Linked DNA regions of Mus musculus. The protein of the gene in region 4 binds, or shares a complex with, the protein of the main gene of each other region. Links are inferred from orthologs where the notes say so. Each region holds a gene or a part of one and is shown on either strand. Other genes may lie near its edges.

What was found.
Region 1: Pfdn6 (region 4) and Wdr92 share a complex: the UniProt entries of both Homo sapiens proteins name them as parts of the PAQosome complex. The link is inferred for Mus musculus from reciprocal best matches to the Homo sapiens genes PFDN6 and DNAAF10.
Region 2: Pfdn6 (region 4) and Ruvbl1 share a complex: the UniProt entries of both Homo sapiens proteins name them as parts of the PAQosome complex. The link is inferred for Mus musculus from reciprocal best matches to the Homo sapiens genes PFDN6 and RUVBL1.
Region 3: Pfdn6 (region 4) and Polr2e share a complex: the UniProt entries of both Homo sapiens proteins name them as parts of the PAQosome complex. The link is inferred for Mus musculus from reciprocal best matches to the Homo sapiens genes PFDN6 and POLR2E.
Region 5: Pfdn6 (region 4) and Asdurf share a complex: the UniProt entries of both Homo sapiens proteins name them as parts of the PAQosome complex. The link is inferred for Mus musculus from reciprocal best matches to the Homo sapiens genes PFDN6 and ASDURF.
Region 6: Pfdn6 (region 4) and Pfdn2 share a complex: the UniProt entries of both Homo sapiens proteins name them as parts of the PAQosome complex. The link is inferred for Mus musculus from reciprocal best matches to the Homo sapiens genes PFDN6 and PFDN2.
Region 7: Pfdn6 (region 4) and Uxt share a complex: the UniProt entries of both Homo sapiens proteins name them as parts of the PAQosome complex. The link is inferred for Mus musculus from reciprocal best matches to the Homo sapiens genes PFDN6 and UXT.

What each region holds. Positions count from the first base shown.
Region 1 is NC_000077.6:17,232,265-17,235,838, reverse strand, and holds the end of Wdr92 (WD repeat-containing protein 92), read right to left. Parts: intron 3,133-3,574; coding exon 2,925-3,132; 3' UTR 639-2,924; downstream 1-638. UniProt on the Homo sapiens protein: Key assembly factor specifically required for the stability of axonemal dynein heavy chains in cytoplasm.
Region 2 is NC_000072.6:88,482,270-88,485,939, forward strand, and holds part of Ruvbl1 (ruvB-like 1), read left to right. Parts: intron 1-693; coding exon 694-843; intron 844-2,138; coding exon 2,139-2,202; intron 2,203-3,443; coding exon 3,444-3,642; intron 3,643-3,670. UniProt on the Homo sapiens protein: Possesses single-stranded DNA-stimulated ATPase and ATP-dependent DNA helicase (3' to 5') activity; hexamerization is thought to be critical for ATP hydrolysis and adjacent subunits in the ring-like structure contribute to the ATPase activity.
Region 3 is NC_000076.6:80,036,851-80,041,049, reverse strand, and holds the start of Polr2e (DNA-directed RNA polymerases I, II, and III subunit RPABC1), read left to right. Parts: upstream 1-1,390; 5' UTR 1,391-1,410; coding exon 1,411-1,467; intron 1,468-2,436; coding exon 2,437-2,611; intron 2,612-3,665; coding exon 3,666-3,862; intron 3,863-4,076; coding exon 4,077-4,135; intron 4,136-4,199. UniProt on the Homo sapiens protein: DNA-dependent RNA polymerase catalyzes the transcription of DNA into RNA using the four ribonucleoside triphosphates as substrates.
Region 4 is NC_000083.6:33,938,296-33,941,815, forward strand, and holds Pfdn6 (prefoldin subunit 6), read right to left. Parts: upstream 2,049-3,520; 5' UTR 1,793-2,048; coding exon 1,729-1,792; intron 1,524-1,728; coding exon 1,453-1,523; intron 1,369-1,452; coding exon 1,244-1,368; intron 817-1,243; coding exon 693-816; 3' UTR 614-692; downstream 1-613. Other genes in the region: Wdr46 (WD repeat-containing protein 46), read left to right, coding at 2,354-2,464, 2,590-2,796, 2,897-2,977, 3,111-3,223, 3,338-3,425. UniProt on the Homo sapiens protein: Binds specifically to cytosolic chaperonin (c-CPN) and transfers target proteins to it. Binds to nascent polypeptide chain and promotes folding in an environment in which there are many competing pathways for nonnative proteins.
Region 5 is NC_000067.6:53,349,945-53,354,323, forward strand, and holds the start of Asdurf (ASNSD1 upstream open reading frame protein), read right to left. Parts: upstream 2,809-4,379; 5' UTR 2,676-2,808; coding exon 2,586-2,675; intron 990-2,585; coding exon 936-989; intron 119-935; coding exon 43-118; intron 1-42.
Region 6 is NC_000067.6:171,344,072-171,348,523, reverse strand, and holds the start of Pfdn2 (prefoldin subunit 2), read right to left. Parts: upstream 2,850-4,452; 5' UTR 2,813-2,849; coding exon 2,738-2,812; intron 1-2,737. Other genes in the region: Nit1 (deaminated glutathione amidase), read left to right, coding at 2,955-2,956, 3,524-3,610, 3,985-4,236, 4,357-4,452. UniProt on the Homo sapiens protein: Binds specifically to cytosolic chaperonin (c-CPN) and transfers target proteins to it. Binds to nascent polypeptide chain and promotes folding in an environment in which there are many competing pathways for nonnative proteins.
Region 7 is NC_000086.7:20,959,053-20,963,169, forward strand, and holds the start of Uxt (protein UXT), read right to left. Parts: upstream 2,927-4,117; 5' UTR 2,882-2,926; exon of another isoform or gene 2,798-2,881; intron 2,735-2,797; 5' UTR 2,726-2,734; coding exon 2,628-2,725; exon of another isoform or gene 2,624-2,627; intron 968-2,623; coding exon 886-967; intron 751-885; coding exon 683-750; intron 414-682; coding exon 306-413; intron 1-305. UniProt on the Homo sapiens protein: Involved in gene transcription regulation. Acts in concert with the corepressor URI1 to regulate androgen receptor AR-mediated transcription. Together with URI1, associates with chromatin to the NKX3-1 promoter region.

The DNA.
Region 1 (3,574 bases), on a different chromosome or scaffold from region 4:
AAGTAGTTGAGAGTTACATCCTGATTCACAAGCAACAGGCAGACTAAAAGAGGCTGGGCCTGGAATGTGCTTTTGGAAACCTCAAAGCCCAACCTCCTCCAACAGGCCAAACCTACTCCAACAAGGCCACACCTCCTAATTTTTTCAAACAGTGGCTCCTTTTTGACTCAAATATACAAGCCTATGGGGATCATTGTCATTCAAACCACCACGCTAATACAATTTATTTTTATTTTGTTTTTAATTTTCAGTAATCTCTGTGTGTGTGTGTGTGTGTGTGTGTGTGTGTGTGTGTGTGTGTGAGTATATGTCACGTGTGTGGATGGCTGCAGAGGCCAGAGCTGTTGGATTCCCTACAGCTAGAGTTACAGGAGGTTGTAAGCTGTCTGAGGTGTATGATGGGAAGCCAAATTGGTCTTCTGGAGGAACAACAGGACTCTTAGAGTCATCTCTCCAGCCCCATCACCAACATGCTATTTACAGAACACAGTACCGTAAGCATGACTACTAATGACTCGGAGTTTAAAAGAAATTTAGAAAACACTAAGAAATAGTTTTAAAAGAAATAAGCAAAAATTTTACGGTGAGTTCAAGGGTCAGATTCTGGAGATTAAGAAGTAGGAAGCCAAAGCCAGGGGGGGTGGCACACACCTTTAATCCTAGCGCTTGAGAGACAGAAACATTTACACAGCAAGTTCCAGCACAGCCAGGGTTACAGAGAAATCTGAGGGAACCGCGTATAGTGGCGCACACTTGAGGCAGAGTGAGATGATAAAGAGTTCAAGGCCAGTCTGGGTTCAAAACATAAACAAAATATACCCGGTACCAAAATAAAATAGTACAAACCAAATACTAGCTGATAAGAACGCACGGCAGCAACGTCATTGATGACAGCTTGTTCTTCCTCTGTGGTACTGAAAGACCCCCGAAGTGAGACCCTTACTCAGGCACTCAAGTCCCGGGACAGCCGCGTACCCAAGAAGACACTGAGACCATACATAAAATGTAGAAGGTAAGATTTAATAAAGCAGCGACATGAAAGCACACAGACCAGAGCTCTGGGGTCGAAATAAAGCAGCAACATGAAAGCACACAGACCAGAGCTCTGGGGTCGAAACTCATACACCTAGTGGTGTAGAGGAGAATCGACGGTCAGCCAAAATTTTTCACAGGCTTATATAGTAAAACTCAAAGGGGGAGAACTGGGCAGGGAAAGTACAAGTTTACATCACTAGGGAGTTCTGCCAAAGGAATCTACGTAACTAAGGAGTCATGTCCTATCAAGGAATCTACGTAACTAAGGAGTCATGTCCTATCATTTGGCAATGTACCCGGTTCATTTTGAGGTTGTTCCAGGAGGCCTTTATCTCAAAAATGTTTTTCAGATGGGAGGGGGTGGGCTCCGAGGTAAAAAGTTCATGTTCTTACAAGAGGCCAGTAATTTTTCATTCTTCAGTACAAGGTAATTCTACAACTGACATCTTAGACTTCATGAAATAAATTAATTGTTCTAGTTAAACCTTTCTCTATCATCAATAACAAATACTCGAAGCCAGATTCTCATATATTTTCTATTTTTTTCTTTTTTGAACATTGGGAGAAAAATCCAAGCGGCCTTTTTAAAGATCAATTTTATTTTTATTATATTATACTTACAACTCCGTTCCTTTTAGATGTGCTTTGTATGTGTATGTGAGCATGCTGTGCACATATGTCAGTGGTCAGGGCTGAGTGGCTGTCTCTTTCCACCTTACTATGAGTCCTCAGAACTCAGGCGTTCCTCCTTCATAGCAAGCACTTAACCCTCCACAGCACTGTTCTATAAAAGCATGTTGGGAATAGAGCTCATTGGTTTTGTAAATATGAATATTATATGTCTCTGCCCCTTTGAACTGAGCTGGGAGACACAAGGTTTATTGCAGGTATGATTAATCCAGTCCTTCCGGAGGCTCAGCTTATGATGTGGGCCAGTGAAACTAAGGTGCACTTAACAAGGAGGAAGAAGGGAACAAAGGGAAAGAATCAACGCCTCCAAATATTTTAAAAACCTGTTTATTTTAAAATATATATTTTAAAGGTTTGACAAAAAGGTTTAAAAACAAATTCAATCTTCAACGGCTCGTCATCACTTACCACAGTCAAAAGACAACTAAGGCTGGTATCTGAGTAAACGAGAGACAGCTGGAAGTCACAGTATTTTACCAGTTACACTGCTGAAAACAGTTCTCCAGGCTGGCTAGTCGAACCGTGTTCTTCTGGAGCTTTACAGAGCAAGTGAAGTGACTCCGAGTAGGAGCACAGTGTACAGAGAAAGCACAGAGCTATGCAGATACAGAACAGACTTAAATACACTTAAATAACAACTACTGACTTTGGCTTTACATTTTTTTTTAATTTAAAAACAATTTTTTTTTAATTTCTAAGAATGTGCATGTGTCTGTGGGTACCACTGCCCAATACAGCCAGAAAATGGTATGAGATGCCCTGCAACTGGACTTACAGGAATTATAAGTCACCTGATAGAGATACTGATGATCAAACTTGGGTCTCATCCAACTATATTTAAAGGCAGAGTCTCACTATGCTGCCCAAGCTAGTCTTGATCTTATGGACTACATTGATCCTCCTGCCTCAGCTTGTTAAGTAGCTGGCACCACAACTCCTGGCCCTAATGTTTCTGAGTAGAAACATGGGGAAAAGGAACAAAGCTGGTGCTGGTGTGTGGGGCCTTCACGTGCAGCAGCATGCTGGTCAGGCCAGCAAACACCCAAAGATGCTAGAGGCTGGCTGGCTGGCTTTGTGCCCATGGCTGTCACTCATCACTCAAATCCAACCGTCTTCAATGGGGCCAGAGGATGCAGAACACAGATCAAGTTACAGTTCTGTGAGCAACCCTCTGGACAATGTCAAGTGTAAAGTCTGAGTCAAATGGTCTGGAGCTTTGTAACTATCAGCACACGCACCATCTGGTCAAATGAACTACAGACGCAGAGCCCCCTTTTGTCAGGACTCCAGTCCAAACTGGAGATGGGCTGAGTAGACACGGTCACGTTCTGCAGAAGGCTGACGGAACCTGCGACTCCCATCTCCAAGCCCTCGGAATCTTTCTTTGACCGCTGAGTTGGGTATTCACTAAAAGACAGGAGCAAAGGGGTAAGAGTGAAAGCTTGGCGTTCACGGGTGGATTTTTATATGTAAGCTTCAGTGACTTTTATTTCTCAGCTGATGGCTGAAGCAGCACTTAGGACTTTCCAATATTGACCTTACACGAGTAAAGGCAGAATTTCATCCTCGGGCAACGGTGACTTTTCCTGCAAACTTCCACACAGCACCTCTTTTCAGCATCTGCCTGTGCTTCTCTTTTAATATGAATGCTATAGGTTGGACTGACTTGGGGCTCTCCATAATCTTTTGTTGTAATTCTTTCTGAAATTTGGATGGCCAGACACCAATGGGCAATGTGTGTACCACAGAAAGGGCTGTAAGCAACAGTTACAAAAGCTCATTTAACACATCCACAAAAGACTTGGTACCATAGCCACCCAGAGGCCACCATGCAGACCAAGCCTGAGTG
Region 2 (3,670 bases), on a different chromosome or scaffold from region 4:
GGAGGAGGTGGGCACTGTCTGGGGCCATGCCATGGGAAGGACAGAGTTGTCCCTCTGCGAATTATAAAGTTTCTTTTCCTTATCTTCATTCTTTAACCTTCTCATCGTGAAAAGAGACAGTCTGTTAGAAATACTAAGACCTGTTTAGAGGGGGAGAACAGGGTGAGAGACCAAAACAACTTTAGTCATTTTCAAATTGAAATGTGCAGTGTATTTAATCTTCCTTTATCTCTCTGGTATTTTCTTCCCAAGATATATGCATGTGGGAAGGAATGCGGCATTAGCTGGCATTCTTTTCGTATCTGATTCCCAGTGTCCTGTACAGTGTTGCTCACTGTTTAATGGATGAGCATAATACTTGATATCAAGCAGTAAATCACCCACCTACAAAAGAGTCTGAGCAGCTCCCTCTGTCTCCAGTTAATCTGCTGGATTTGCCCTTTATCGGGAAGTGCATACAGTTACGGGTGTTGGGGACTCTGGAGAAAGTATCGGGTATCTGTGACCCGCCGGTAGCTTCCTTCTCTTGGCAGAGGGTAGTGGGCACACTGGGTTGGGCACATGGGGGGATTGTCAGGGAGGCTGTCGTTGTTAGGCTGCAGTTGGGACCCGACCCTCTATCTCACTGAGCTCTGCCATTTGAGGGCTGGGCAGTGAAAACCCACACAGCATTCACTGTCTCTCTGTCTACAGAGGCAAGGCAGGTGTGACACCTATGCCACAGAGTTTGACCTTGAAGCTGAAGAGTACGTCCCTTTGCCAAAGGGAGATGTGCACAAGAAGAAGGAAATCATACAGGATGTGACCTTGCATGACCTGGATGTGGCTAATGCGCGGCCTCAGGTACTGCTGTGCTGCTGTGGGAGGAGCTCTCGGGCAGCCTTTTGTCTCTGCCTGGAAGCTCTGGGGATGAATCGGCAAGGTCTTGCTGCCACTTTGGAGGCAGGCGCTCCTTTTCTCTCTGTGATGTTCGGCAATTAACATGGGCATGAGCTACGCAGCACTCCTTTGTTCCCATTCTAGTGCACCAGTCACAGATGATTTCCTGGGCTATTTCTTCTTGCAGCCAAGCCTCCCGCCCTGAGCTAGCCAACTTCCTCCCTGGCTTCTCTCCAGCAGTGACTTGTGCCTGGATGCTCTAGGTATTGCTGACAGGAGGGCATGAGTGCTGTGTGAACCCTCACAGGGTTTCTGAAAGCCTCGCACAACTGTGACCTCCCTCCACTTAGCAGAGCCTTGCCACCTTTAGCTTTGAGCTGGACCCAAGCCCGCAACTCTGGAGGGACAGTAAATATTTAGACCTTGACTGATAACTGTAGGAAAGGATGTCATTCCATAGCCACAATTCTGAGGGACATGATTCAAAGAACCAAAGTACACAAATTCCTTACTGGTGGCCTTTCAGGTTACATTTATCTTCATCCTCCCTAGGCCACCTCTGCAGCAGCAGTGGAGAATGGGCCCATCGAGGCTTTGTTCAAGAGATTGTTGACATCAGTCCTAGACCAGCAAGTGCCTTTAGGAGGTAGATGTCTGTCTCCAAACTGACCTCAGAAGCCTCTGCTTTAGGCAGAGTGTGGGGACAGAGTGTCAGCAGAGCAGCTTCCTAACAGGAGGGGCCTCGCAGGAAGATGGCACAGACAGCCAGAGCTTTGAGTCATAGCTTTGGTCCTTTGTGCATAATCCAGGAGTAACAAATTTTAAAAGATAAAGTGGGAGAAGAGGTCACCCTGTTCACTCTACTCCCAATGGAAAGAGTTTGTTTGATTCCTAGAGGTCTGGAGCCTGTGAAGTTCCTCTGTGTTTAGAAGCTTATCAAGGAAGCTGGGCATGATGCCACCCACATGCCTTAATCCCAGCAGGAGGCAGAGGCAGGTGGAGCTTTGAGTTCAAGGCTGCCTGGTCTACAGTGCAAGTTCATGGACAGCCAGGGCTACACAGAGAAACCCTGTCTAAAAAAATGTACATACATGAAAACACATACATGAAAATATAAACTTTCCAGGGGGCTTGTGTTGGCATCTCCAAGTGAGTTGACATTGGAGACCAGTAGGAAGCAGGGGAATTAGGTTTGGTAGCCTCCTTAGACAGCATGGTCATTCAGTCTTCTCTGGCTGACTGAGTCTTCTCTTTTCCAGGGTGGGCAAGATATTCTGTCTATGATGGGCCAGTTGATGAAGCCAAAAAAGACAGAGATCACAGGTAAGAGCTGGTGATCTGCCTGCCCCCAGAGCCTACAGTAGATCAGGACCCTGGGTGCCAAACCCAGTGGCTGTATGTGCTCCTCTAAGTAAAATAAGCGTGGTGATGGTGTCTTCCCTCCTCTGAGATCACAGCTTAAACCTTGTCATCTGTGCTCTGTTTAGACAGTAGTGTGCTCTCTGGTCCTGGGCACCTAGAGTTTCTGGTCCCTTTGGGGTCCTAGGGATGTTGAGAAGTGGAGCGAACTCTGCTGCCATGGCAGCACCACCTTCTTCCCTCTGCCCTGCTCTGGTGTGGCCTTTATACTCTTCCCACCTCTGTTATCGTTTCCTAGCAACCTGTAGGTTGGTGACTGTGTGTGAAGCATGAAGTCTCTGTGATCTTGGAGGTCTCAGCTGGACGAGCAGCTGAGACGGTTCTTCCAGATCCCAAGAGCAGCTGTGTCTGGATTTTGCCTGGCTTTGTGTGGCTGATGAGACAGGGTTTCACTGGTTAGTCTAGGATCACCTTGACTAAGAGATGCTGCATTTCCTCCTCAGCCTTCCTAGTTCTGGGGTCACAGGTGTGTGTGCTGCATGCAGCAGCAACCACTGTAGTCTTTTGCCCTGAATTTGCTCTTTGTTCTCAGGCAATTCTTACTGGTAGATTTGGTAGAAGAGGTAGCAACTCCAGCAGATCTTACAGTTCTGTTTATGACCAGACCCTACTGCTGCGGTTAAGACTGGGCTGTGACTCGTGGTGGCCTATTTGACTATGGATAACATCTTGTAAGGCCTGAAACCATCTTCCTGTTTGGAGAGGACTGAGACTGCGTGTGATTGAAGGCAACGTCACACAGGGCCATAAGACAGGGTCATTCACAGAGCACAACATAGGAATATTTGCATATGAAAACTCCTGTCGTCCCAGGCTCCCAAATCTGCTAGACTTGAGTTCTAGTGGGAGCTGGACATCGGGTTGGGAGGATGAGCAATAAGGCAGGGTGGGGCGTGTGAGGAGGTCATGGCCTTCCTGTGCACAACCCACTTGGGGTTAGCCAAACAACTTTAGGGAAAGCTGCCAGTTCTGTGGCCTTTAGGTGTGTTTGTTCCTGTTTTAGATGATGTAACTGAAGCTGGAATGGGGCCAGGGCCTGCTGGGGCCTCACAGTTGGGGAAACAGGTGTAGGGTGGGTTTGGGTGGAAGTCCGAGCTCAGAGCGGGAGCTATTTGCTGGTGCTGACCCTGCCATCCCACATCTAGATAAACTTCGAGGGGAGATCAACAAAGTGGTGAACAAATACATTGACCAGGGTGTGGCCGAGCTGGTCCCTGGAGTGCTTTTTGTCGATGAGGTCCACATGCTGGATATCGAGTGCTTTACCTACCTGCACCGAGCCCTGGAGTCCTCCATCGCCCCCATTGTCATCTTTGCATCCAACCGAGGCAACTGTGTCATCAGGTAGGGCCTCACGCCTGCTCCAAGGCTT
Region 3 (4,199 bases), on a different chromosome or scaffold from region 4:
TGCTCTCTTCTCCAAGAAACGTCTTTGCCCATGTCCCCTTCCTTTGCACACTCATGGCTTCTTTGGCCAACTGTAGCAGCCTAAGCCCCTTGGTCTACAGGGTAGATGGTGGGCTCAGTGTACTTGGCAAAAACTTGTCTTTCCCAGTTGGGATCAGCCTAAGTTCTCAGGCAGGAACTGGTGATGATCTGTAGATGAGCTGTCAGACGCACATCAGGACAGAATGGAGGCATCTGGACTTCCAAGGACAGACCTTGCCAGTCTTGGTGGCACACGCCTTTAATCCCAACACTGAGAGGCAGAGGCAGGCCATTCTCTGCGCTGTTGAGACCTGGTCTCTATACCAAATTTCAAGTCAGCACACTCCCCCAAAGAAAAGGAGAGGGCTGGTGAGATGGCTCAGTGGGTAAGAGCACCCGACTGCTTTTCTGAAGGTCCGAAGTTCAAATCCCAGCAACCACATGGTGGCTCATAACCACCCATAATGAGATCTGACTCCCTCTTCTGGAGTGTCTGAAGACAGCTACAGTGTACTTTCATGTAATAAATAAATAAATAAATAAATAAACAAATAAGAAAGAAAGAAAAGGAGAAAGGGGCGTTCCTGTGAACTCCCATTGTATAGTTGGAAGGGTTTAGCCCTGGAATCCCTTTCCCTAGGATTCATTTTCTCACCACCTTCTCAAACTTTTCACGAGTTAGCCCACCATATACACACTTGTTTGTTCATTGTGTGTATGCCCGCACATCGATTGTTTTCATTTTAGATTTTTAGTCGTTTAACTATGTTTATCTGTGTGTCTGCATGTGGGTATAGACCTGTAAGTGTGGCCCTTGGAGGCCAGAGGCATCAGACTCTCTGGAGCTGGAGTTACAAATGGCTGGGGGCCACCTCATGTGGGTGCTTGCATCCGATTTCTCATGTAAAGTGCAGATACACTAATAAAAACTTGTATAAAAAGGGAAATTGAGGCACATGAACCTGGCTGTTCATCACTGGTCTCTTGCTTTCTTTCGAGACAGGGTTTTCTCTGTAGACCTGGCTATAGAGCAGGCTGGCCTCGAACTCACAGATCTGCTTGCCGAGGACGGGGATTAAAGGCGTGGACTACAGCCCGGGAGACGCCTAAGGGAGGGAAATAAAACTGTTATCAGGTCAAGTATCGCGAGATCTTCCCGACGCGCGACACCGCCCCGGTGAAGGCTGGGGCTGCCCAACGCGCAGCCTGTCGTGGAAAGTAGGTTTATTCCGGCGTTCACCTTAGACAGCACGAACCTGGGCGGGGGCCTTCCCAGCCCTTGGCGCAGGCGCACTGCCGGGGGGCGGGGGGCATTTTGTGCGTCCGGCGCAGGCTCCGTGCTGGCAGCTCCACGAGCGCGCGTGCACAGTTGTTTGGGAAGCGCGACAGCATGGACGACGAGGAGGAGACCTACCGGCTGTGGAAGATCCGCAAGACGATCATGCAGGTGATCAAGCGTGAGGAGCTTTATGCGAGCGAGCGTTCAGTTGCGGACTAACTGCGGGTTGTCCGCCGAGGCCCGCCTCCCGCAGGGGCCAATCCTCCTGGATTGGAATGCATCCCCGTTTAAAGTGTGGAGCCCACCCACGCTGGCTTCAACTCTTAGAAATCCTACTGCTTCCACCTCCTAACTCTGCCTCAGGGGAAAAGGCCTGGGTGGGCTCCGTTTCGGGAGAGGGGGCTGCTGCGTGGTCACACTTGGTTTTATGCGAGCTAGGTAGCCGCCCACACGAAAGCTATCAACCATCTGTAACCCCAGTTCCAGGGGATCTGACGCCCTGTCCTGATCTCTGGGGACTCCAGACACACATAGGATGAAAAAACAGTATTTTTAAAAACAGAACAAGCCGGTATGATGGTACACGCCTTTAATCCCAGCACTCTGGAGGCAGAAGCAAGCGAATCTCTTTAAATTAGAAGTCAGCCTCATCTACATAGTGATTTCCAGAATAGACAAAGTCACGCAGAGAAACCCTGTCTTGAAAAAGAAAAAGGGAATAAAAGAAAAAATTCTTGGTTGTTTTGAGTTGAACACATGAGACACCATTATTAGATAAAGAGGTATGCATAGTTTTGACTTATGCTGTGTTGGTGGAGCCCAGGGCCACCTCATGCCTGTTCCTCAGCCCTGATCCTGGATGATGCTCTAGTCTCCCTCATCAGGAACACTCAAGACTGGGGACAGGAAGGTGCCTGTATTCAGAAGGTTGCCTACAGTTGCCAGGGGATTAATCCCAGCCTGCTCCACTGAGGTTGGGGGGAGGAGAGGCTTGGCCGGGCCGCTGTGGTCTGAGCCTATACAGAGTTTGGGTACTGCTGGATCAGTTCAGTGTTAGTCCCCAGCCTCGGCCATTCAGGGTCAGGTCTGCGAGCTAAGTGCTCAGGCTGACTGCCTCTTTGCCTCTTGTCTCTGCAGCTGTGTCATGACCGTGGCTACCTGGTGACCCAGGATGAACTGGACCAGACACTTGAGGAATTCAAGGCGCAGTTTGGGGACAAGCCCAGCGAAGGACGGCCAAGGCGCACAGACCTCACGGTGCTGGTGGCCCACAACGATGACCCCACAGACCAGATGTTTGTGTTCTTCCCAGGTGAGGCCCTTGGGCTGGCAGGAGTGGTCTCCTCCAGGCCCTGGCTCAGGTGCCAGTGAATGCATGTCCCACTCTGGCCTAACGCTGCCTGTAAGATTGTGGCAGCTGCCTGCTTTTGTCCCTGTCTCCCCTGGGAAGCCTCCCTTTTGCTGGTGTCGTTTTCATCCCATAAGCCCCAGAACCAGCTCTCAGCCCTCCACCCCCTGGCTCCTATATGCTGTATTCTATAGCTTCTGCCTGGGAGTCCCAGGGCCAGCTATGCCACCCCCACACCCCCTGTGTGCTGTATTCTACAGCTTCTGCCAGCAGCGCAGGTGTCTTGTGGGAGTGAAGGCTATTGGGGAGCCCAGGACCTCCCTGTGCAGCTACATTCAGTCTCCCCAGACAGCTTGCCTCTTTTAATACCTAATGCTTTGTGGCCCCGGGACCTGGTTTTTAGTGTGAGAATTGGGGGGTGCGGGGATGGGCATGGTAGCATATGCCTGTAAGCCCAGTGTTTGAGAGGCAGAGGCAGGCAGTCGAGGCCAGCCTGGTCTATACAATGACTTCCGGGACAACTATGGAGGGCATTGGTTCTCAGCCTTCCTGATGCTGGGACCCCTTAGTACACTTCACATTGTGACCTCCAACCATAAAATCTTCATTGCTAATTCATAACTAATTTTGCTACTATTATGAGTCATAATGTAAATATACCTGTGTTTATCCAGCAATTTGCAAACTAGGTGGCCTGGGTCTGCTCCTGCGCTCTGCCTGAGGAGACAAGGCTAGCCTCATGTAGACACAGGGTCCATCTCTTGGTCAGTCAGTTTCTCCTTGAGGCTGTCTAAGCTGACAGTACCATATCCCCCAAACCCCAGAGCTGCTGAGAGCCCCCACCCCCGTTCCAGGGGGGCCGCAGTTCCTGCATACCCTGCAGCTTCTGCAGTGATAGCTGAGCCCCCTGGCAGCCCCATCATGGCTGCCTTGATGTTCTAGTCTTCCCTTGCAAGCAGAGAAACTAAGACCACAGGCTCCAGTAGTGAGTGTGAGGGTGGTGCTTGTGTGCCCGCAGAGGAGCCCAAGGTGGGCATCAAGACCATCAAGGTATACTGCCAGCGCATGCAGGAGGAAAACATCACACGGGCGCTGATTGTGGTGCAGCAGGGCATGACGCCCTCCGCCAAGCAGTCCCTGGTGGACATGGCCCCGAAGTATGTGCTGGAACAGTTTCTACAGCAGGAGCTGCTCATCAATATCACAGAGCACGAGGTGTGTGTGGTGGGGTGGGGCGTAGTGCTGCCTGCATCCAGGACACGGGCCGGGGCGGGGTGCTTCCCCGGTTTTGGCCCTGAGCATCCAACTTGGTGATATTAATAGCCTGGTTTTGTCCTCTGTCCCAGCCCCATGACAATACCCATTAGTCTGTTGGTCTGTTGAAGTTCCTGATGGCCGCGTGCCTGTGGGTGGGTCTCTGTCTCCACAGCTAGTCCCTGAGCACGTGGTCATGACAAAGGAGGAGGTGACTGAACTGCTGGCTCGATAGTATCCTTTACTCTGTCCCCACACCCCCCTCACCCCAGCGCTGCCCGCCAGCTGCTTCCTTGAC
Region 4 (3,520 bases):
ACGAATCTGGAAGGAATTTCAAGATTAGTTAAAAGTTACATTCACTGACCAGTGTGGTGGCGCACGCCTTTAAACCCAGCACTCGGGAGGCAGAGGCAGGCGGATTTCTGAGTTCGAGGCCAGCCTCACTACAGAGTGAGTTCCAGGACTACACAGGGAAACCCTGTCTCCAAAACCAAAAAAAGTTACATTCAAACCAACCCTGAGAAGATAGACGGGGAAATCAGGTAACAGTCTAGGGCTAGGGCTGCTTGGGGAGACAAGTGCTCACCGTGAGTGACTGTCATTTCCTGGGCTCTCAGGCCAGAGAACTGAGTTCTATGGCAACGAACAACATGCTGCACTGTAGACAGTGTCTTCTCCCGTGTCTCCCGGTTACGCCAACCAACGTAGGGAAGTCAAAGGGTTGTATGTACAGGCAAGAAATAGCTTGAGACGTTTCAGACTAAAGTTTTGAAACTGAAGGGACCCAAGGAAACACCCTGGGCACAGTTCTCAGCCACAGGAAAGCAAAACAGAATCCGGCCACTGAGAGATTTCAGTCACAAGACCGTGAATCTCAAGAGGTGTAAAAGTGTACGGGAATGGAAGTACAGTGAAGAAAGACTGGCTGTAAAGTAGGCTTGGTTCTGTTTACATTTTATTGGCTCAGGGTTAGCCTCATCCCTCCCTCCTGACCCCCTCCCACGGGGTCAGGCTTTCCCAGGAGCCTTTGCAGCTTGGGCCCGCTGAAACTCCTGCTGCAGTTGAGCAAGGGTTTCCCTCTGTTGCTCTGACTGCCGCTCGAGGTCCCGAAGCTGTGATTCGTAGCGCTTGCTGAGGAGGGCAAAGGGAGGCAAACGGAGAGGAGATATCAGCCAGGGCTCAATGATATGGTGGAAGACTGGAGGTTTGTGGGACAGAAAGCGGGGATGGCACTAAGGGGAAGAGAGGGCTGCTGTCCTCCAAGGCTGGCACCTGAATTCAAGCTACAGAACCCCACAGTAGGGAGGCAAACATTCCCGCAGGTTGTCCTTTGACAAGTGCCCTCACCAGATGTCACACAGCAAGAAAGGCCAGGAGTGGTGCCACATGCCTTTAATCCCATCCTTTAGGAGGCGGCAGCAGGCGCATCTGTGTCAGGTCAGCCCCGTCTACAGAGCGAGTTCCAGGGCAGCCAGGACTTTACAGAAATGGGTAAGTGGAGAACTATCCAGCACGGGTTTAACACTTGTGCACTGAAAACGCCATCCGCAGGACTTACATTTCTGCTGTGATGTAGTCTAGCCTCTTCCCTACTGTGGCCCGAGCCTCCCCCAGCTCCTGTTTGACAAGCACGGGTCCCAGAAGCTTAAAGACCACGTTGGATCCATCCAGCAGGGCCAGCTCCTGAGAAGGGGATGAGGCAGTGAATGAGATGATCGTGCCCAGGAGAGTCCCTCCTCGCCCCCCACCCCCGCGTCCCATCCTCACCTCCTTCACGATATTGTTTTCCGTTAGCTGTGCTTCGAGCTTCTGCCTCCCTGACATAGATTTACTCAAGTCTGGGGTGGAGAGAGGAAATGCACGATTAAAAACATCAAATGGGCCCAGAACCGCGCAATTCTGGGGAGACTGGGTGTGAGGAAGAAAGCGACGATACCGAGGCGAGGGGTAACAAGATGCACCCCCGCAGCCCCCAATGGGGCGCGACGCTTCATCATAGATGAGAGCGGACAGGAGCGAGACCACACCAACTCCCTCTCTTACCCTTCTGCAGCTGTTGATATTTCTCTACCTCTCCCTGCAGCTTCTTTTGGATCAGTTCAGCCATGGTGAAGGAGAAAGCCTCCTGGGCGGGGGTCGCTGGGTCTCAAGCTCTGGGAGGCACCTGAATCCCCCCTCCCTGACCCTGCAGAAGGACAGCACTTTCTACCCGCAACTCTCCGAGGCGCCGCAGCCTCTTTTCGTCCAGAATAGCCACTCCCTAGGCAAAGGAGAGCGAAAGAAGAGATCCCCGAACCCTCCAAGCCAAACGCTAACCTCTTCACGCTCTACCCGCTGTAATCAATAAACCCGGAAGTAAACAAGGCATGACGGGAGAGAAAAAGACGGCGCCGGAAGTTACATTCCGATACATGCTGGAACATGTAGTTCTGACTTGTGTGAGGCTCGTTCGACCTAAAAGACTCGGCTCGAGAGGTTTTGGGCAAGACAGAAAAGTTAATATGGAAAAATCTAAGCTCATAGTTAACAAGATTCGGGGCTCATACATGCTTTTTAAATCTTTATTTGGTTATAAGCTGCTCCTCGGGCGATCCTCCCGGGCTCACAGAGGCATGCCCTCACTTAACATGGCGCCGGAGGCTTCAGACGCCGGTACGGCGCTGATTGGATGAAGGGGGGGACTTCCGGAAGTTTTCCTAGACCGCCGAGCTACTACTCAAGGGAGTTTCGCACGTGGATCGTTGTTCGGTCTTGGAGATGGAGACAGCCCCCAAGCCGGGTAGGGGTGTCCCACCCAAGAGAGACAAGCCTCAGGCCAAGAGGAAGGTAGCTTTGGTGGGAGGTGTCCGCGTCCCGGGCCCAGGCTCGGGCAGCGTGTGCGAAGGCTTTTCCTCTGCCCCTTAGAAACCGCGGCGCTACTGGGAGGAGGAGACCACCCCGGCCGCCGTCGCCACCTCCCCGGGGCCGCCTCGGAAGAAGGCGAGGACTGGGGAGTCGCGACCCCCGAGGTCCAAGAGCGCGCACATCGCCCAGAAGTCCCGGTTCTCCAAGAAGCCCCCGATCTCAAAGACCGCTCCAGACTGGAAGAAGCCTCAGAGGACGCTGTCGGGGGTGAGCCTGGGGTTGACAGGGTGGCGGTGCAGGTCGTCCCCGGAGATCGAGAGGAACCGGATCCATCAGAATCTGCCTCCTGCCTCCTTGTCCTCGCCAGGCTCAGGACCCGTTCCCAGGACCCGTCCCCGCCCCCCTGGAGGAGGCCCGGAAGTTTTGTCGAATTGACAAGTCCAAAACGGTGAGGACCGGCGGGCTGTCAGAGGGATTGGAGGCCGAGGGTTTGGATGAGGTGGTGGCGGCTTCCCCAGTGGTTTTCCTGGGACCCCCACATATGCTCTTCGGTTCTTGCAACCCTGTCAACAATGCCGTAGCTCCCACATTCGAAGCCTAAAACTCAAAGCAAACTCGAGAAGGCTGAAGCGCAAGAGGAAGAGGCAAGCGTCAGAGCCGCCCGCGCTGAGCTGCTGCTTGCAGAGGAACCTGGGTGAGTGGACCCCGACCTGGGCTTTCCCCGCTGTCCTGTCTCTCTGCGTTTTTATGTTTGTATGCCCGCTGCATGGTGGGGACCGTCACCGTCGTCATCCTAACTGCCTTTTAGGTTTCTGGTAGGAGAAGATGGGGAAGACACGGCAAAAATCCTGCAGACAGACATCGTGGAGGCTGTGGACATCGCCAGTGCTGCCAAGGTGAGCCCAGGCTGGGAGAGGAGCCTGGAGACTCGGGATGGGGCTGGGGGTGGGATGGGGTTTGTGAGTTCGTTGTCTCACGGACACTTCACCCT
Region 5 (4,379 bases), on a different chromosome or scaffold from region 4:
TATATAACTCTGAAAACAAAAACCAAGACGACCACCACTCACTTTTGCTTTCAGAAAAGATTTTTGTTCGATCTTCAAGAAAGAATATGTTGCTGTTCTGTTGCTGCTTGTATACTCTCTGCAAACGAAATTGACAAGATCAGGGTATGACATGCACACTGATGCTGAACAGGATCCTGTTATCATTTATTCTTGAACTTCAGGAATATTCAGAACAGTAATTACCACAGAGAAACAAAGCCACTGAATACTACGCCACCCAGAACTGGTTGTTTACTTAGCATGCATCATCATACCACACACTTTCAGTAACAAAAGCTATCATAGCCACAGATTTATAATTTACTTCATAAATGAATAATACATGGAGACCTTTTCTGACCATATGGGTACAACACTATAGTTCTTTGCTGGCCTCAAGCTTCAGACACTTACTGTATCGTCACTACAGGTGCTGATGAGCGCCTCTACGTGTAAACACACATGCACCCTCACAACTGCTTACACACCAGTTACTCAGAAGTGTCAAACAGCATTTACACATTTTGACAGTTTGATCTCCAAAAATTTGTATTAATTTGCCTTAGCATCTAATATATCCCAAATGACAATATCAGAAATGTCAAGAATGTCAGTCATTACATAATCGCAGCTGATTTCTGAACATATTCATAAAAAAGGCATTAAATGGGTTAAGTATTTAGAATAGTAAAGTTTTCTGTGAAAAACTTCATTCTTTTTTGTTAAAATATAATAAATATTTTTTTATCTTTGAGATCTATTGACATATACAGGAAAAACAAATTTAAAACATGCAAAAACAAACTAGGATACCACGTTAGCTTTTAAATTATGATCTTTGAATTTTGTAATGTTAGCATAAATAATCGAAATCATAATTTTAATATACTATTCAGATTTCCACAGCAACTCACCCGATTCTTCTTTAGATTAGAAAGTTCATCCACAATAATTTTCTGTTCTTTAATCTATTAAAGTAAAGAAAAAAATCTAAAGTGGAAGATTTCAAAGTATGTTTAGCGAGAACATTTTAAGTCACTGCTTTAAAACTAAAGATGGGGTTGGGGGCTATAATGGACTGCCTGTCTAAATGGACACTGAACAAATCAACAGCACTCAGTCTGGAATCAGTAGAAGACAGCTTGAGAAGGAGAAGCATAGGCTTGCCAGGGGTCAGTTACCACAGCTCACATCTTTAACCAGGGTGAGCCACTGCCTACCCAAATTAATACCAATCTTTTAAGCCAGGCAGTGGTGGCGCACGCCTTTAATCTCAGCACTTGAGAGGCAGAGGCAGGCAGATTTCTGAGTTCGAGGCCAGCCTGGTCTACAGACTGAGTTCTGTGACAGCCAGAGCTACACAGAGAAACCCTGTCTTGAAAAAAACAAAAAACAACCAAACAAAAGAACCAAAAACAAACAAAACCTCTCCCGAAAACAACAAAAACCCAATCTTTTAGTTTTATAAGGTCTTGCTGTAGACAAAAAGAGAGAAATAAAATGAATGTGGGTTCTCCTCTTTACCAACAACCAATGGTTTTATGATGTATGCACTAGATGACAGCCAGACATTCGGATAAAACAAATGAAATGGTACTATGGTACTGAATGCCCTACCTGCACTGATCCAACATGATTTTCCACCACTGTATCATTCTATTTCAAGTATTAAGGACTGCATATTGCTGGTATCGTTAAGCTAGGCAAATAGTCTATTAAGTCCTGAGAGCTGTACTAATAACCTACAAAGCCATATTGAGTACGCTTTCCTTGAGATTCAAGTCTGCTTGTACAGTGTTTTTATGCTCATTACAGGAATGACAGGTGTCACTTTAGGTGACACCACAGTACACTGTGGTACAGCGGGAATTAGGCAATGTACTGAAGATATCATATAGGACAGAAAAAATACAGAATTTAGGAATGTTTAATATCTGAAAAGACTATACCCACACCCTTCCACTCTACACGTTTAAAGATTTTCGTCTGTAACTGGAAGTTAGGACTAGTTCCGGTATGGGGTTGCCTCCCTGAAATCCTGGCTATTAGGCAAGAGAATTATTCAAGTAATGCCTAAGCAATAATATCTGAGGCTGGCCTGAGTTATTTATGAAATCCTATCCTAAAGGTATAGAAAAAAATTAATTTGATAGGGTGCTCCTTTCTCTTGTTGAATAATAAAGAGATGACCAAACAGATGTTTTTAGGATCACTTAAAGTTGAGAATATATTTTAAGGTAACAGGCAGCTGAGAAAATCGGCTAAGAAGCTTTTGCCTGAGTCTGGAAGAACAGGTACAGACTTCTAAACTTTTATGATGGACGTCATGGATGGCACCCAGGCGGGTGCGTGGCTAACTGGATGAAGCACAGCCACAGAGCAACAGATCTGTGTGTGACTGAGCAACACATCTGTGTGTCACTTTTTTTCAGGGGACACGCCTCCATCGTCGCAAACCTGCAGGATGGAGGGGAATCAGCTGCTGGTGCTGAGAATGCACGGCGGAGGCTACAGGGCACAGCGGGGCCCGCCGCCCACCACCCTTCCCCGGCGTCCCACGGCACCTTGCTGCTAAGGGACTCGGCGTGCGCAGTCGATGTGTGTGGGGGCCCCGGCGCGGCGCGGCCATCGGCGTGCACCCCACTGCTGGGCATCGCCTAGCCGCGCCGCACGCCAAGAACCGCGACTGAGGAAGGAACGGCAGCCAGCAGCCCCGGCAGGAAGCCTGGGTTCCACTCAGGAATCCGCCCCTTCCGGCACCCCGACCAATGGAGTGCGCACACTCACGCCTGCGCAGTGGCAAGCGCGCGCGGGGTGGGTTGTGAAAAGTCGAATTAAGAGTTGTGCTCCACTGCAAAATGGTTTTCTGCTAAATGTAGGTGTGGCTTGGCTGCAGAATCTATGAATGGTCTGTATCGCCCCCTAGTGGATCCTATGTAAAAATAAATCACTATAATTTAATACTCTTAAATTTGGTTTTCTTCTCCTCCTCCCCCTCCCCCTTCCTCCTCCTCCCCCTCCTTCTTCCTCTTCTTCTTTTTCTTCTCATCCCCTTCCCCCTCCTCTCCCCTCCCCTTCCTCTTCCTCCTCCTCCTTCTCTTCCTCTTCTTCTCGTCCCTTCCCTCCTCCCCCTCCTCCTCCTCCTTCTCCTCCTCCTCCTCCCCTCCCCTCCTCCTCTTCTTCTTCAGATTTACTTATTTTATGTATATGATGAGTTCACTGTCTCTGTCTTAAGACATACCAGATGCAGATCTCAGGTGCAGAGGATACCATAGAAAACATTGAAACAACAGTCAAGGAAAATGCAAATTGCAAAAAGCTCCTAACCCAAAATATCCAGGAAATCCAGGACACAATGACAAGACCAAATCTAAGGATAACAGGTATAGAAGAGAGTGAAGATTCCCAACTTAAATGGTCAGTAAATATCCTCAACAAAATTAAACAAGAAAACTTTCCTAACCTAAAGAATTTGATGCCCATGAACATACAAGAAGCCTACAGAACTCCAAATAAATTGGACCAGAAAAGAAATTCCTCCCATCACATAATAATCAAAATACCAAATGCACTAAACAAACAAACAAACAAAAGAATATTAAAAGCAGTAAGGAAAAAGGGTGAAGTAACATGCAAAGTCATACCTATCAGAATTACACCAGACTTCTCAGCAGAGACTATGAAAGCTGGAAGATCCTGGGCAGATGTCATACAGACCCTAAGAGACCACAAATAGCAGCCCTGACTACTATTACAGCAACACCCTCAATTACCATAGATGGAGAAACAAAGATATTCCATGGCAAAACAAAATGTACACAGTGTCTTTCCACAAATCTAGCTCTATAAAGGATAATAGATGGAAAACACCCACACAAGGAGGGAAACTGCACCCTAGAAAAAGCAAGAAAGTAATCTCCTTTCAACACACCCAAAAGAAGATAACCACACAAACATAAAAATAACATAAAAAATAATAGGAAGCAGCAATCACTATTCCTTAATTTCTCTTAACATCAATGGACTCAATCCCCCCAATAAAAAGACATAGACTAACAGACTGGATATGTAAACTGGGCCCAACATTTTGCTGCATATAGGAAACACACCTCAGTGTCAAAGACAAACACTATGTCAGAATAAAGGGCTGAGAATAATTTTCCAATCAAATGGTCCCAAGAAACAAATTGGAGTAGACATTCTAATATAGGATAAAATTGACTTTCAACCAAAAGTCATCAAAAAAGATAAGGAAGGACACTTCATACTCATCAAAGGAAATATCTACTAAGAAGAACCCTTAATTCTGAACATTTATGCTCCAAATGCAAGGGCACCCGCGTTCATAAAAGAAGCTT
Region 6 (4,452 bases), on a different chromosome or scaffold from region 4:
TATCTCAGACAAAACAACAATAGTAAACCAATAAATGATAAAGAACAGAAAATAAAACAAGCACCTAGTACGAAGTATTACCTGCTCCTATTTTCCTTGTGAGAGACACACTAGGCTAACACACACATCAGTAATAAACCTTAAATTGGGCTGGGAAGAAAATTTCACAGGTAAAGAGCCAAAGAACCAGGGTTTGAGCCCCAGAACACACTTTTTAAGAAGGAAGAGGAGGAGGAGGAGGAGAAAAAAGAAGAGGAGGAGGAAGAGGAGGAGGAGGAGGAGGAGGAGGAGGGAAAAAAAAGGCAGGCAGGCAGGCAGGCATGGTACTGAGGCATGAACTGCCTGGCACTGGAATGCTAGTGAACTTAAATTCTGAGGCTTGTTTTCCCAGTGCTGAGGAAAGGGAGGATCAATGGACTCTCTGGTCAGCCATCCTAGCCTACCTGGTGAGTTCTAGGCCACGTGAAAAACCCTGTGTCAAAGAACAAAGTTGACTGTATCTCTTTAGGTCTTGCAATATATCTCTTTAAATTCTCCAGCATTTTCAATGCCAAGCAGTTCATGGCTCAATGCTTTTGAACACACTACTTCTAACGAAAAAAAATCTTCACATGACTAACTTTTCCCAGCCTTTAGAATTAAGCCAAAAAATCTAGAAAATAAAAGGAAATTAGCATTTAGAAAGACTGTTCAGATTATGTGCGTGCAAGTGTGTCTGTCTGTGCGAGATCAGGTGCTCGAGTGCAGAGGCCATCTCTCCAGCTCTAAGTAGCATTTGTTAAACACACTATGTAGTCTCTGTATTTAGTCATGGTGGAAAAAAACAAAACAAAACAAAACCCAAATGGATTTTCTTGCCTAGTACTCTAGTTACGAAATGGAAAACTACTGTGCTTTTACAGATAGACGAGGGTAAAAGGTAACAAGAGAAATCATATATAAATAAGAAATACAAAGCAAGCACAGGTCATTCTGATTCTAGGCCAGGAAACCCTCCCAACCATTCCACTACCCGCCATTCCCTTGCCTACTTACCTGCCACATCCGAAATCTACACTACTTTGGACTCTCTCTCCAAACTGTGCAAGAAAAGTTCATTATGTGCAGAAGTTTGTAGTGTAGGGTTGGAGAAATGGCTCGGTGGAAGAACGATTACTTTTATAGCGGAGGACCTGGGTTTGGTTCTCAGCACCCTCATGGTAGCTAATAGGCAGTTATCAGAGGTTTTGACCACTCTTCTGGTCTCTGAGGGCTCCTGCACACATGTGGTATATGCACATACACATGCAAACACACATAAAGTCTCATTGTTTTGTTTTTGAGACTGTGTTTTACTCTGTAACCCAGGCTAGCCTGGAACTGACAGGGTAATCCAGGGGGATTATGGGTATGGGCCACCACACTTGGCTGTGACCAAGTTTAAGACAAGGTCTATTTCATTTACCTGTTCCTCTGGGTTAAGCAAAGCCAAACACAAGACGGACTCTCCAAAGCATTAGCATTTTTTCCTTCCCACTATGTCAGAGGCTACACCCTCTTCCATCTCCAGAATTCCCCTGCACTTCAGTTCTCCCTGAACACTTACTTTCTAACTCTTTGACAGTGTGGGTTTTAGACTCTTTATGCTGATGCTTTTACCTGTAGGAATTGTTCAACAACCAACTGACAAATGTACCTATGATTAAAATTACTCTTCTGGGGCTGGTGAGATGGCTCAGCTGTTAAGAGCACCGACTGCTCTTCCAAAGTTCAAATCCCAGCAACCACATGGTGGCTCACAACCATCCGTAATGAGATCGGACTCCATCTTCTGGAGTGTCTGAAGACAGCTACAGTGTACTCACACATGAAAGAAAGAAAGAAAGAAAGAAAGAAAGAAAGAAAGAAAGAAAGAAAGAAAGAGAGAGAGAGAGAGAGAGAGAGAGAGAGAGAGAGAGAGAGAGAGAGAGAGAAAGAGAGAAAGAGAGAAAGAGAAAGAGAGAGGGGGTGGGGGGTGGGTTCTGCCCTCTTCCGAAGTCAATCTTTGCAAAGAGAGCACACCGAGCAAGCTCGAGGCCAGCGTAGGCCACTTAGTAAGACCGTGTCTCAAAGACGAAATAATCCGAGCCTTTAATCGCAGTATGTGGGAGGCAGAGGCAAGCGGATCTTCCAGGCCAGTTTGGTCTACAAAGTGAATTCCGGAAAAGCCAAGGCCGGACCCGACCCTATAGCAACCCTCATCCCCACCTCCAAGACAAAACAAACAAACAAACAAACCACAGACTCCTTAGTCAAAATAATTTACGGAACACTAAACTGCTCAGAGTCTGAGTCACGTGGCTCTGCAGCGTGTTGGTGATGGTGAACACGGTTTTTGAGCCATGAACTACATAAGCCACTCACTGACTAAGAACAGCTTGGAATTCGTTACTAGATGCCACGCCAAACACCATACGCTCTTTAGGGTACCTCGGAGAGGGGGCAAACTACGATCCATCTTCTCAGAGACCTGGCCAACCCTCCCAGACCCTGCAGCTCAGGGCTTTCTCCCTTGACTACCCACCCACACCGCGGGCGTGCCTCTCCCCTACCTACCCAGGCTCTAGAAAGGTTCGTGATCACCTCCAGAGACCCCCTCTCCCCCGTGCGTGCCCATGGAGACCGTGGAAAGGACTAAAGGCCCCTTCGAGCCACAAATCTTATCTTCTACACGAATTCGACACCGCCCCGGGTGCCTTGTGCGCTCGCGGCTCCTCACCTGTTCCGCCGACACCGCCCCCTTCCCCGCGCCGCTCCCGCCGCTCTTGCCCACACGACCGCTGCTGTCCGCCATCTTCCCCACCTGCAAGCTTTCCGGCCTGCGCACTCTCACTGCGTCACATCCGGCCGGGGGGTTACCGCCCACTTGCTCCTGCGCTCCTGGCTCCTGGCAGCTCTTGAGATCCGACCCCGTGAATGGTTTTGGCTGTGTCTTCATGTAGGACCTACTCCCAAACCCTGCCCGCTGCGGTGAATTCCACCTGCGATGCTTTAACTTGTGCAACAGAGATTCTTGCCCGGGGGGGAGAGGCGGGGAAGGACGCGCTAATCAGAGGGCGGGGGCTCGGGTTGGGATCTGGTCCTGTACCCATCTACCCACCATGAGATGGTGGAGATCTAGGGAGGGTGAACTTTCCTTCTGAGATTCGGGTATAAGGGGAAAGATACGTGTTGAGTCTATAAAGCTGTGCAGGTGGCACAGCCGAGAAGAGAATTGGGGAAACGAGGAAGGTTCCATGAGATGACTTGAACTGCGGAAACGTTTGGCAAAGGAAAAAGGGCTTCAGTTTTAATGTGAGATCACTGGAAGTTGAGGTATTAAGGCACCGATCATAGTCGCCTCTCCCATTTTCCCATTTTATATCTTTTCCTAGCTACTAGTAGTAAAAAGTATTTTCGAAGCCTTGGGGGAGGGGATTACTGGCCAGGCCTGGAAATGGCAGAGAATTCTAGAAACTTACGGCTTGAAAGAGGGTTAGGTGTCCTGATTTCTCACCTTCTTCAGGCTGGGCTTCATCACCAGGCCTCCTCACCAACTCCTGTGTACCGGATACCGATTACTTCGAACCCCAGTACTTTGTACTCAGCCCAGGTAACATATTTCGTAATGTTCTCTCTCTGGCGCATAGCTGCTTAGTTCGTGTTTATTAACTTCATAGTGGGAGACAAAGATATCTCCAAACATGTAATGAGTGAACTCCAGTAGCTCTAGGGTTATTATGCTCTGTAAGAATGAAAACAAGTTGCTGGGGTCACCTGTAATGCCAGCACTCGAAAAAAAGGAGGATCAACCAGGAGTTTAAGGTCATCCCCAGTTACATAGAAAGGCCTGTCTGGGCTACAAAAGACCGTGTCTCAAAAAAGAAAAAAGTCAAAAGAAAATAAAGTTTCTGGCTCCACCCCCACTTGAGCCTCTGAGTTTCTCCTAGATAGAAAATCTGAGGATACTGCCTGTGTCATTCACAGGCCCAGAACCATGTCCTCATCAACTTCCTGGGAGCTGCCCCTGGTGGCTGTGTGCCAGGTAACATCAACACCAAACAAGCAAGAGAACTTTAAAACATGTGCTGAGTTGGTTCAAGAGGCTGCCAGACTGGGTGCTTGCCTGGCCTTTCTGCCTGAGGCATTTGACTTTATTGCACGAAACCCTGCCGAGACATTACTCCTGTCCGAACCACTGAATGGGGATCTTTTGGGCCAATATAGCCAGCTTGCCAGGTACAAGGGTAGGGTTTGGGGGGGGGGGGGTTGTGTGTGTAGAACTCCCTGTTGAGCAGTGTTCCTGGATTGCCACAGAGGGGGTAGAGTTGTGTGTGTCGTGTCCCCCCCCCCCCCCAGGGAATGTGGAATCTGGCTGTCCTTGGGCGGTTTCCACGAGCGTGGCCAAGACTGGGAGCAGAATCAGAAAATCTACAATTGTCATGTGCTTTTGAA
Region 7 (4,117 bases), on a different chromosome or scaffold from region 4:
GGTAGAGTATTAAAATTTGTGATGTCTATTTATTATTTTTTCTGTTTGTTTTATACACAGAGATTTGTTTTATCACCCAGAGTTGCTTCAAATTCATGATCCTCCTGCTTGATTCTCTAGAATCCTGGGATTACAGGTGTGAACTACCATATCTGGCTTTTATATATTTTGTGTATGTGTTTGTGTGATGTGTGATATGGATAGAACCTAGGGCTTCACACATGCTAAGCAAATGTTCTTACCACTTCCCTGTACCCTTAGCCAATGTAGTGGCTTTAGATACTATCCTCTTGGAATGCACTCACTCTGTGAGGAGAGAACTCTTTCGGTCAATGAACTTGAGTGCTTCAGCCAGTGTCAGTTCCAGGAAAAAACCATATCCCAGGGCCACATAGATGCGTGAAGTATCTGGGCTGAGGAAAGAGGTCAGAGGAAGTGGAAGAAGTCTTTATTACTATTTAGCACACTGTATGGTTTAAGGTGTTTCCTATTCCTTCCTGTTTCTCAAAATGAAGGCTCTGTAAAGGCAGATACTTTGTGTTCATTTTGGCCACACCCACAACATGTTGCTCATATCCTAATGAAATATAAAAGCTACTAGAGCCTTGTATATAGAAAATACTAAGAAATACTTGTTCCATGAAAAAAGGGAGAAACTCAGGAGGGGAGAGAATATACTCACACCACTGTGTCAACGAAGAAGTTACAGCCCAAATCCACCTGCATATATAACTCCGAGTGATTAGTTTCCTATAGGGCCAGGAGAAAAGAGGTAGGTGTCAGCGGGCAATTTTAAAGGCAGATAAGGTTTTGTTCTTGGGGTTTCTTCCCGCCTCCCTTCTTTGTACACATACACAAAGTGGTACCCAATTTAAAAACCTTTACCTGGAGTCGCTCAATGACATTTCTTAGTTGAAGATATACGGACAGCTGCTCATATACCTTGTCTCGATGATCCAGCACCTTTCTGATATGTAGAAATACAACAGTGAACATTAGGCAGCCTTATTCCTCTTGAGATGCCAGGCATTTTAAGTCAGGTTGTGGTTGACATGGATGTAATTCATGGGCTGAGGCAGGAGGATTCTGAGCTCAAGACCAGCTTGTGCTACATCGTGAGATCCCGTGCTCCCCTCCTCCAAAACACACACAATGGGGTATAGACAGAGACACAGCAGGCATTTCAATAAATACAGGTCAGACTGTAGTTCAGCCTGACCTCTACCTCTTACTAGGAATGTGACTATGGAAAGTAGAAAACCTACCTAGGATTAAGTTTCTTCACATAGAAAACAGAGATGGCCGTAGTAGCACATAAGAGTCATTAGAATCGAGTGTTTACTACAAAGTGTTTTAAATGCTAGCCAAATGGTAAGCATTATATACTTGTTACCTATTATAATTATAAATATTACATTTTATTCAGTGACTTATGCCAATTAAAATGTCCCATCTTCACCCTAAATGTACCTCTCCATCTCTTTTAGCATGCTCACACAGTCCTAGTTCTAAATACCTAACTTTCTATTCAGATTAGTAATGACAGCAATAGCAATCATCCAGTTGTTGAGTCTTTAGTGTATTTCAGGCACTGGGGTCAAATTCCTTTCCTAAAACAACTATTTAGGTTATTTGTTTTATTACCCAAGACAATATCTGAGTTTCTCAGGCTAAGTATTGAATTTGTAAACACACCAAACAATTCTTTCCTCTCAGCCTCAATATAATAATAGTGGGGTTTATCTGCATTTTTAAAATGTGTTCTTACTTGCATTTATGTGTTTATTTTGTGTACATGTATGGGTGCCATGATACATACCTGGAGGTCAGAGGTCAGGTTTTTGGGAGTCTTTCTTTCTTCCACCATGTGGGTCCCAGAGATCTAACTTAGGGCATGGGGTTGGAGGCAAGCCATCTTGCTGGCCCTAGTTTGCTTGTTTTGAGACATAATCTCAAAGCCCAGGCTATACACAACCTCGAATGTAGGTGAAGATCACCTTCAACTCTGGGTCATCCTGCTCCTGACACTATCCCAAGTACAGCAATTGCAGGCCTGTGTCACCACACTGGATTTTTTTTAAAATAGAATATTGTTCTATTTTCAAGGCTGGCTTGTAATCCTGGCTAAACAAGTGAATTTTCCCATCTCTCCACTAGAAGTGGCACACACCATGGAGCTTGAGCCTGGCTTTATTCTATTTTTTTCTCCCTTTGAGAAAGTTAGTCTGTAGCCCAGACTGGTTCTCAGCTTTACAAAGATCCTCCTGCTTCTGGCTCCCAAGTGCCGGAGTTGACACATTTAAAACTCAAACACCACGTTAAGAAGGCCTAATAAACTTTTCCATTTCACAGATGAATAAAGTTCACAAAGGTGAAGTAAGGTACAACTTGTTCATAAATATTGGTTAAATGGCCTAGTCAGAAACACCCTGTGTTCGGAATGACTATTTTAAACCAACAAACAAGGTCAGAGCTCTGCTAAAGGGACAAGTTCCAACCACATCTCAGCCCAGAAGTCAACCCTATTCCCAGAAGTCTGGGCGGCCAATCCGAAAGTTTGGTCGGCATTCTGTCCCACCCACCACGTGAAATTTCTCAAACGTCACGCCTCCCACGTTGTCACTCACTGCAAGTCTCGCTGCAGTACGTCACTGATAAAGGTCTCGTACCGCAGCACTTTCTCCCCCACCGTATCCAAGGCCCGCCGTTTCGGGGGCGTCGCCATGACGGGCACCTGGGGGAGTAAAGGGGGGGGCACGTTGAGCGCTCTATTTAAACTTCACAAAATTCTCTCCAGCCACTCAACGTTGGGGATGACTTCTTTCGGCTCGAGCTACGGAGTTGCTTCTGCCCAACCCGATTTTGGAACTCGTTCACTCACCGGTACAGGAGTACGGCGTTTACCGTAGGGCCACCGGCAATAACTGTTAGTATGAGCCGCGGCTTCCGGGTGGCGCGGATGGATGATGTAATTTCCAGCAAGGGAGCCAACCAAATCGATGGGAGGGGCGGTCCGGCGTGTGGGAAGATGCACTTAGGGGAAGGGCTGCAGGCGGGGCCTGAGTGAATCCTTGGAGGTAGCAGGATCCTATGGATCTAGATGGGCCTGGCACGCCGCGGTCTGCCAGCAGGCGGATCGTCGCGAGCTGGCGGGAGACTGGTTTGGGTGACGTTCAATGAGATTTGGCGGGTTCTGAGGGAGGGTGGACTTACAGGAAGGTAGGGAGAGGGAGTTAAGTGTTTATAATTAGTAATTTGAAGTGTGTGTGTGTGTGCGCGCGCGCGTTGGTACTGAACTTATAGGCAGTTGTGAGCTACCATGATGTGGGTGCTGATAATGGAGTTTACATTCTCTGCAAGTTTTATGTGTTTTTAACTGATGAGCCATTTCTGTATTCCCCCCTCCTTACTCTTACATTTGTTTTCCTATTTTATGTGTTTTGTCTGCATGTTTATGGACTACATGCGTGCATTGCCCACAAAGGCCAGAAGAAGTTGTGGGATTCCCTGGAACTGGAGCAACCAACAGTTTGTGTGCACCATGTGGGTAATGGGAATCGAACCTGGGTCCTCTATAAGACTGGCCAGTGCTCTTAACTACTGAGGTATCTATATAGTCCCTATTTTTTTCTTTTAGAAACATTTCTATTCTTTGAGAGTTTCATAGATGTATGCAATATATTTTCATCATCTCCACTCCCTTTTCCCTCCAACTCCTCCTAGACTCCTCCTACCACATTTTCCTCCAATTTCATATTCTCTTTAAAACAAACAAACCAAATCAAAACCAAAAGAACTCACTGAGACCACTTAAGCATTTAATAATTTTAAAAGCACAAGAGTGCCTATAGACCAGCAAGGATTATGGTACTAATCTATAAGGAAGGCAGTATATCCTGTGGGGATCTGTTTGAAAAAAATATATGTTGCACACATTGTTTGGTTTTCACCCTCCATAAAGGGAATGAATAAGAGCACATAAAAATGTTTAAATGGAGACAAATTTTAAGAAATTTATCTTGAATGAATTTCTGCTTGGTGGCATGCAGTCCATGATGAGGGCTACAGAGAAACCTTGTCCCCCAAACCAAAACCAAAATTTGATGTTACATGTATT